2 linked regions of the Oryzias latipes genome follow. The protein of the gene in region 2 interacts with the protein of the main gene of each other region in a pairwise test. Links are inferred from orthologs where the notes say so. Each region holds a gene or a part of one and is shown on either strand. Other genes may lie near its edges.

The links.
Region 1: the proteins of retreg3 (region 2) and signal-transducing adaptor protein 1 interact in binary tests that used the Homo sapiens proteins (3 or more experiments, as listed by UniProt). The two-hybrid records come from large-scale screens. The link is inferred for Oryzias latipes from reciprocal best matches to the Homo sapiens genes RETREG3 and STAP1.

Annotation. Positions count from the first base shown.
Region 1 is NC_019868.2:13,892,245-13,896,764, reverse strand, and holds the start of signal-transducing adaptor protein 1, read right to left. Parts: upstream 2,909-4,520; 5' UTR 2,500-2,908; coding exon 2,398-2,499; intron 1,215-2,397; coding exon 1,143-1,214; intron 1,015-1,142; coding exon 898-1,014; intron 773-897; coding exon 716-772; intron 311-715; coding exon 129-310; intron 57-128; coding exon 1-56. UniProt on the Homo sapiens protein: In BCR signaling, appears to function as a docking protein acting downstream of TEC and participates in a positive feedback loop by increasing the activity of TEC.
Region 2 is NC_019866.2:6,743,389-6,747,799, reverse strand, and holds the start of retreg3 (reticulophagy regulator 3), read right to left. Parts: upstream 2,982-4,411; 5' UTR 2,900-2,981; exon of another isoform or gene 2,662-2,899; 5' UTR 2,631-2,661; coding exon 2,383-2,630; intron 1,339-2,382; coding exon 1,232-1,338; intron 1,013-1,231; coding exon 982-1,012; intron 907-981; coding exon 780-906; intron 631-779; coding exon 546-630; intron 136-545; coding exon 1-135. Other genes in the region: tubg1 (tubulin gamma-1 chain), read left to right, coding at 3,904-3,952, 4,281-4,393. UniProt on the Homo sapiens protein: Endoplasmic reticulum (ER)-anchored autophagy regulator which exists in an inactive state under basal conditions but is activated following cellular stress.

The sequences.
Region 1 (4,520 bases), on a different chromosome or scaffold from region 2:
GTGGGTTCTCCTCCAGCATCTGCTCAGCCTCCTTTCGAGTCACATCATAGAAGCATCTGCAGGTTTAAAGGAACCGATGTTTACCTCTCTATTGGTTTTCCGTTCAGACGGGAAGTCCTTGAACTTACTCTGGCATTCCCGGTTTTGTGCTTTTAGGAGAATCGGTCATGGACTCAGACTGCAGGAAAGATGGTCGGGGTGGGAGGGCTGGACGAGAATGGTGTGAAACTCTTTTTTTCTCTTGTTTCAGAGCATCCTCCAGTTTTACTCTCTGACCCGGCATCAGTTCCAGCTTGTTGGGAAGCTCTTTCTGCCGGAACACACAAACACAGATCATCTGCAAACTGTCTAGACATTACAGCAGTATTGTGGGAGACTGGAGCACCTTTTTATCAGAAAAAAAAACTACCAAAGGGTTTCTAGAAACCTTCATGATTATTGTAATAATTATTGGCTTTCAATAGCACTTTCTATTCCCCTTTACAAGGTAGAAGTTCCCCTAGTTTGTATGTTTTTAAGTGTATCTTTTCTTGAAGTACTGTGAGCCAAACTATCATCTAACCTTTAACCAACACATTTTTTTCTTCTGATTTCATAGTCAATCATTTATTACCAAAAAATGCAAAACATGTGCAGTTAAACCAGTTTGAACTTGGACTGTTGGCAGTAAATGTAACTTTATGTGTAGATATATATATATATGAGCATGTGTTACTTTGGCCATGGTCAAGATGTAGCCCCTCCACTCCTCCCCAGTGTCGGCATTCTCCATCTGCAGATGTATGCATGGAAAAAAAAAACACAGAAGTGATGGGGGAAAAAAAATAAATAAATAAAAAAGCTATTTAAAATTGACCCTAAAGTTCAATGAAATATTTCACAGTAACTGCAACAAACCTTTAGCTGCACCTCCTCTTTGGGCAGAGAGAGGATAAAGACAGTCTCCTCCTTCTTTTTGTAGGAAGACTCCAACTGCATGGTTTTCAGCTGTGACAGGTCCATCTTTTCAGTGTACTGTGATAATCGCAAGCATGAAAATGTTTTTGCTATTAATCAGGCTTTTTATAGTTTTACACTTAATTAAATCTTTTTTTTTACCGTTTACTGATCAGAAATGCTAAATAATCTGGGTGTTTTCTTACTGATTCCTGTGTGTCATCTGTGTACAGAAACAGAGAATCTCCTCTGAGCTCCACATAGTAGGGCTTGAAATCCTGAAAGTTGCAAAAACAATTTCAACTTGCTGTGGATGACCTTTAAACAGTGAGGGTGATTAAAAAATGTCACATGATAGAAGAACCAAGGGGTCCTCAGATCTCAAACATAGATAAATACTAAATTAACTACAAATGATGTAAAGTCTCTGTCATGAAAAAATGTATTGCATCTTCGTTTTGTCAGCCAGCTCTGGCCTTATGGTAGAGTGTCCGCCCTGAGACTGGAAGGATGTGAACTCCAGTCGAGGCTGAGTCAATCCAAAGACTAAAAAGGAGACTCAATGTTTTCTTGTTTGACACTCTGCATTATTGGAGGGTTAAACCACCAAATGGCTCCTGAGAGCGGCTGTGTCTGCAGCTCACCGCTCCCCCAGAGGATGGCGCAAATGCGCAGAACAAATTCCACACACCTACTGTAGGTGCAGCTGAAATGACTTTAACTATAGAAGGAAATTTTCAAACTATTCAGAATCCATTTTTTTCCACAAACAAGAAAATATTTTATTTCAAGTTTTAAGCTTCCATTGATGTTTTGTCTATATATATATATATATATATATATATATATATATATATATATATATATATATATATAAATCCTATATCCTAAAATCCTAAATTCCTTAACTCTGAATCTACTTGCAAGCAAAAACATTTGTGATTTTTTTGTTTTCTGAGCTGTATATAAAAATTCTGATATATAATGCATACTGTCATGTTAAAAAAACACGTCACTTTATCTCAGATAGCTAACTCTTGTGATTCAGGTTAATGTTTCAGCAACTAACAGGCCAATAATGTCTGCAAACAGGGAAAGCGGAACAACCGAACACTAAGTTTTCTTGCAGTTGTTCTATAAACTAAACTAAACTAATCAGACTGAAAAAGTGTTTGAGAACAAAAATGAGAACAATTATTGATGTGAAAGATATTGATGTAGATGTGTGTATCTTTGGTGTTTTTTTTTTTTTGTGGCAATAGGTAAAGACAGAATGACAAGGGTTGTGATTTATCTGAGTTTACAGTTACTGACTCTCTGGATCCAACATAGTCAAGATTATTTTTGAGCCTCAAAGCCAACAATTGAGGTACTTTAATTTATGTGCCATAACAATAGGTGGATTTCACAACTATAATCTGTTATCTAGACTGACATTAGCACATTTGTCTTTACTCCTACCTTATCTTTGGAGCGTTTCTTCTGCATGCGCCCTTGAAAGTAGAGAGGCAGAGCAGTGATGGTCTCCCTCCTTTTGTGGACAACCCTGCTGCTGAGCGACATTGTCCAGTTACTGTGTAATCCACAGGCTTCCTCTGTTTTTTACTGTTGCTCCGTTTACTCCTGTTTTTCTGAGCAGAACAGTCGTCACGAAGAGTTCGACTGATTCCTGGGAAAGGGTTGTCTCAACCGTTTTAGTTCTTATCTGAGTTGACCCGTGACTTGTAAGCCTCTGTTGATGAAATTGCCTCCTTTCCTATACTTTCTTGCACTGTAAGGACTGGGAAGGAGGAAATGCTGCTCTGATTTACGAACAAGGAAGTGGTGGCATGAATACTCCCAAATCAAGATCTCCTTTTGTACTTTGAACTACAGCAGAACTCAAGACACTGACTGTTTTTGCACCACCTACTCAAGCAACAAAATCGTGCACACACAAACACACTTTCCTGTTTCGGGTATTTAAGAGGACACGGGACACACTTTTTCAAATGGCTCCTCTGTTTTCAGACAAAAAAAAGAACGATATTAGGACCTAAAGTGTTGAAAGGATTTTCCTCCCAACGGTGTTAACTATCCCCATAAAATGTGACACATACAGTAACTCCAGCTCCAATCAGATTAATCATTACTTTCCTTTATCTTTTTTCAAAGTTGTCAAATTATTGACCTTTAGAGCATTGAAATAAAATCCTAAGTATTATCTTTGTTTCCTTATTGTGTTTAGCGGACTAAACCCTCCCTCCACCACTCACATCACATCACTTTGATTCAAGCCAAATTCAAATAATCTGACTTTTTCCACTTTATGTGGAGCTTTTTCTTCAATGCTACTGCCTGATATTCCACTTAAACCAGGGGTCTTCAGCCTTAAACAGTAAAAAAAAAGTAAAAGTAAAAAAATCTAGAAGGAGCCTAACTTTTACCCTTCAGGAAAATTTAATGCTGATTTGCTGGCATTGAATTGTGACTTTTAAAAACAAATGTGAAATTGTGTCCAGCAGGGACATTTTTGACATGAAAAAGTCATATATACAGTACAGACCCAAGTTTGGACACACCTTCCCATTCATTTGAATAAGAAGGTGTGTAAAAAACTTTTGGTCTGTACTGTATAAAGAGAAACTAGTATTTTCCTGAGATTTTGATTTTTACAATTTGGCAGAAGGTTGCATGACGTCCTGTTAAAATTAGATGCCTTGTGCCAAACAGGATCATCCCAGTGCAGCTCATGTTCTCCTAGACAACACAAGACACTAATGGCAGGTTCTCTTGTTCTCTGGTGAGCCGCCATCCTTTTTCCTACTTAATACTGCTGTTAACCCGAACATAAACAGGAATTTGCTGGTTTATGATCAAGGAGAAAAGCAACTCCCCTCTGGATAGCTACTAACCATGTTGTGCAGCATTAGATGATGTGTGTTTTCAACTGATAAAATAAACGGAGTAATCAGACTTTTTACGAAAGGTTTCCTAATGAAAATCTGTGTATTCCGGAGGCGGCGTATAGAGCAAACACGGGCTCTAGATGTTAGCAGGAATGCAAAAACCTTTATTTTACTTCGAGGTGCACCTCAGCATTAATTTATAAACTAAATCTGAATTGGATGCTGATTTAGTAACCCTTGCTTTGAAAATTTTGTATTATTCTATTTATCTTCAGCCACTATGGAGAGAAAAGAGCCACACGTGGCTCTGGAGCCTTATGTCGGAGACCCCTGATTTAATTGCTGGTGATCTGCATTAATTACTTTTTTCAAGTGCTTACTTATTAAGAAAAAACAATTCTCTTAATTTTTTTCTTCCTTACTCTTAAACTAGACACATACTGGCAAGCTTCAGAGACCCTAACATGGGGGGTGGGGTTATGGGATTGTGGGGGCGATGGTTCATTTGCTTGCATGGATGCAGACACCGCTGAGGACATGCTTTGTGTCAGTGCTGGTCCCTCTCAGCGGCTACCATCCTCCCATGAAATCCTTCATCCCAGATGAGATCCCAGAGAGGCGCACAGAAAGAAGAGGAACCAGACATTGTTCTTCATCACGGGGCCCCTTAATGGTGCTTCTTTTCAACCACTGCCT
Region 2 (4,411 bases):
GATTATCGATGGGCTTTGACATCATGTATCCATGGATGCTGAAATCCAGCCGCTGCAGGACTGGCTCCAACTTCATGCACGCATGCTGAAAGACTCGATGGTATGCTGCCAGAGGAGCCAGGAGGATGACCAACACTGCCAACGAGGGAGGAGGAAAGTCATGACACTTATGGTGATATTTAAGTGTTTTGCTTTTGTTTTTTCTATAAAATCAATGAAGATCTACAAACATGTTGGGTTTGAGAATACAGACAGGCGGACAGCTGTGGACTGGCCCGCCCTCTGCAGTCTAACACCAGCTCCAGGTTAGGAGATTAACCTGCTGTCCGCCTGACCTCTTTAGATTCCTGTCCTCTCCTCCTCCTCCTCCTCCTCCTCTTCCTCCTCCCTGTTTTAATCACTTCGTAGGCCAAACCTTGTGTCGGGGCCCCACAGATCTGGTTTCACTCATATATTTTTCATTTGGCATAAAATGAGTTTCCTGCCAACAGTGTAGCAGCAGGGCGTGACCGGTAGTTAGGACCGGTAAAACTGCTCGGACTCACATGCAGCGTAGGACAGTACCAATCCAGAAATGTAGCACCCAACCACGGCCAAACAGGTGAACAACCCGCAGGTCAGAACGCAGAACTGCTCCAGAGAAGAACACAGAGATAGAAGTCACTGCCTGCACAGCACGTCACCCATGTAATATTCATTGAGGGAATGCAGGTGGATCAACTGAAGCAGTTCACATGAATAAGAGGATTAAATACATGGTGCTGGGCGGTAATCCTTACATTGCCAGGGTTTCGTTGTTTGAATTGAACCATGAAGCACATGAGAACTGATCCGCTGACCCAGGCCTCTGCCAGGTGATGGCAAAGCTCTGGTACACTTAGGATGCCGGGCTGCACCAAGGCCCAGCTGCGGAAACAGACATGTTGGACTGAAGCACTTTAGCGAACAATGAATGCTGCAGAAGAAATAACAGAAACACACCTTTCATTTTCAGATTCATCCAGTTTTCTGACTGTAAAGAGCAAAGAAACAAAGCGTTACAACTGAGAGGTATGAAGACACGTGGATTAGAAAGATTCCAAAGTTCCCCAAACTGTAGTTTGGTCATTTTCTTTCTTTATCGTTTGCCGATTGATGTTCCACTCGCGCATTTAGTAAACATAGATTTTAACAAGCATAAAAAAAGGACATTCTGAATATAAAGAACCACAATTTGAAGAGAAAAACACACCTCTAATCCTTGGCCAGATTTTATTCCTCCAGGTGTCAAAAGACACAAGGACAGCAAGCGAAGAGGCCAGGATGAACAGCAGACGCATCGATGTAAAGGCAAAAAACCTGGAACCGGAAGCATGCAAATAACAGCGCTTTAGCTGCCTGTTTCCTTAAGACTATGCAAAGAATTAAATCAAATTTAAAGAAGAAAAAAAAAGCGCACAATTCAATTAATGGTAAAAAAAAAAAAAAAGGAGTGATCATTGGTTAGGAGGGGTTTCCCATAAATAAAGTTTTGAATCAACGACAAAACCACTGAAAGAACTAGTTGTTAAGCTACAAAACAGAAAAAACTGCTCTTTGTTTTTGGCTGAGTAAGACTGCCTGGGATCTAAACACGAGTCTCTGTTGCTCTAATTTCAGATCTCAGGTTTTCACAGAATTGTTGGCAACAACAATGCTGCAGGATTCTGCCAATCCTCAGATTAATCCCATTAAGACGTTTCTGGTCAACAACTATTAGCCTTTTGTTGTTTTTTGAGCATATTTTTTGGGAAGGAAACCCCTTTTTGTTTTTAAAGAAACATGGTTACTTTTATTATTCCAATGTAGAATCCAAACACTCATCATTTAAGAGATTCATTTTCAACGTGGTCGAAGATATATTTAGTATGGAGTACATGATAAAAAACAAAAATAATAGAAATGATGTGTCAAAAACGTGTTCATAAACAAGATTTTTCCAGAGATTTCTGATTAAACAAGAATGAACACTAACAGACCCCAAACTTGTGCCAGATCTGCACACTTTAACCCTGATATTTGACATTTAAAATGTTAAGCTACTGCTCAAATCTTGGATTTAACCTTTTGATTTTTAAGTTAGCAATTCACAACATCCATATTTCAACAGAATAGAGTCTAGGTTACAGTTCTCAAGCCTGTCTGTTGCAAAACACATCCTTTGTGAAAAATACTGGACTAATATCTCAAATCAAACAAGTTTTGGAGCTATTGAACCACCTGTTTGATGTTTTACTGACAATTGCAACACTTTTACTGTCATCTACTTGCTTTGCTGTCATTTTCACCTGTTTTAAAGTTTATCTTACAGGAAAATGATCACAAACAAATTTCTAAAAAAGTGTATTTATTTGTCAAACTCACCAGAACGCCGTGTTTACAGCAAGAAAGAACAGGGCGCTGTGAAGTGGTCTCTCCCACACCAGGAGAGACTGCAGGTAGGTCAGAACGGGCTCGTAGGGCCCCAGTTTGGACTGAAGTTCTGCTTTCACGACCCGAACTCGGGCGTCTCTTTCGCTGGAGAATGGTCGACTTCGAAGGCAATTGCTTGAACTCTGAGACGCGGGACGATCGTCCATAGGGGCGCTTTCCATCGCTCCAGAGTACGCCATCAAACTGTGTCTGCTGTGGAACACTGTCAGTCTGTAAAAGAGAGAATTAAGCTGAGTGGAAACCGGTAAACAGCTTGATGAGGGGCTCCGCCGGTGACAGAAGAACACAAGCTAACGGCTATCAGTGCTAACAGTGAGCGACCACAACTCCGCACTGATGTTAATGTTACAACATTTCTCTTACAGCGTTAAAAACAACATTATACAAGGTCTAAAAATAAAGTTTCAGAGAAACCTGACACTAATTATAAAATATATATCTAAAATACATTTTGTGGTCGCTTCGGAAAATGTCAACATGGCGTATCTATTCCCAGCGTCGATTGATCCAATCAGATTTCAGGAAAGCAGTTGCGTCACAGTGCGTTCAGGTACAAAAGTGCAGACTAACTTCCCAGGCTGGGGCAAAACCTCAAGCATATTTTCGTATGTTTAAATGAACTGTAAAGCTCATTTATTTAAAAAAATATATATATATTTTTTCTTATTACAATCATTTATACTTGTCTTTTTTTAATTACTTTTATGATAAGCAGAGCAGACTTGCTACAAATGTATATGGGACTTTCTACAATTCATTAAAACTCTGGAATAAACGATTCATTGGGTTTGTTTTTAATCTCTTCTTATATGACATATTTTTTTTCCTCAATCCTTGTAAAATAAGCCTCTTTATACTTATGTATGTTTATGCATGTCAAAAAAGATTACTGAAACTAATTTGTGTATCTGTCTATGCTGTTTTGTTGGACCAAAAACCTATGACGATTTATTATTACTATTGATGGTAGTAGTAAGGTTTGCTTGGTCAAGAAACACATATCATGTCAATGAAAAAATATTGTAAAATACTGTTAAAAAACTTAGTGCCTATATGGGTTTACTAAACTTTGTTTGAATTAATTAAACTTGTGGTCACTTTGTGGCACAAAATATAACGTGCTTATCGATTTGACGAGAAAAATCAAACCGGAAAAAATGCATGGCCCCAAAAAGATTATAACCAAAATGGTATAAATTGTTTTTAAAGAACAAATTCGAAAGAGAAGATTACCATCTTTAAAAAAAATGTATTGTACTCCAACACACTAGGGGGCAGCACCGAGCGTGAACATTGTCCCATGAACATCCGTAGAAGAATTCAGCACGCCAGTTAGCGGGAACGAGCGGGTTGTTGTTGTCGCTGCTGGTCAGGGGAAAATCGGTGTAACCTGGGGGCTAGCTTTCATTATTTCGCTAGCAGACAGGCTAGCAAAATAAAAAGCAACTAACCATGCCGCGGGAAATTATAACTCTTCAGCTTGGACAATGTGGCAATCAAAGTAGGTCATTTTTTTCATACCCTTAAGTTAAGTTTCTGAACCGTTTCCTTTATATTTTGTTCGACGACTCTCCACCATTCGACCTAGACAGTTAGGTTAAATCTTCTTAAATGGTTCTTGGACCTTTCAGCTGAACATCTCTTTGGTGGGAAATAACCGCAGTGATGATGCTATTCCGGCTAGCTAACGGCTAACATGGTGTCCAGAAACAGTATAGTATAGGTAACAGTAGCTGTCATTCACAGAACAGCTGCGTGTTCTCAAACTAGAAACTGTTTAGTCAAAAACGAATGTAATCTAATACTAATTCTCCGTTTTCGTTTTGCAGTCGGGTTCGAGTTCTGGAAGCAGCTGTGTGCTGAGCATGGGATCAGTCCTGAGGGAATCGTGGAGGAGTTTGCAACTGAAGGAACCGACAGAAAGGATGTCTTCTTCTATCAGGTGAACGTTCACCAAGTC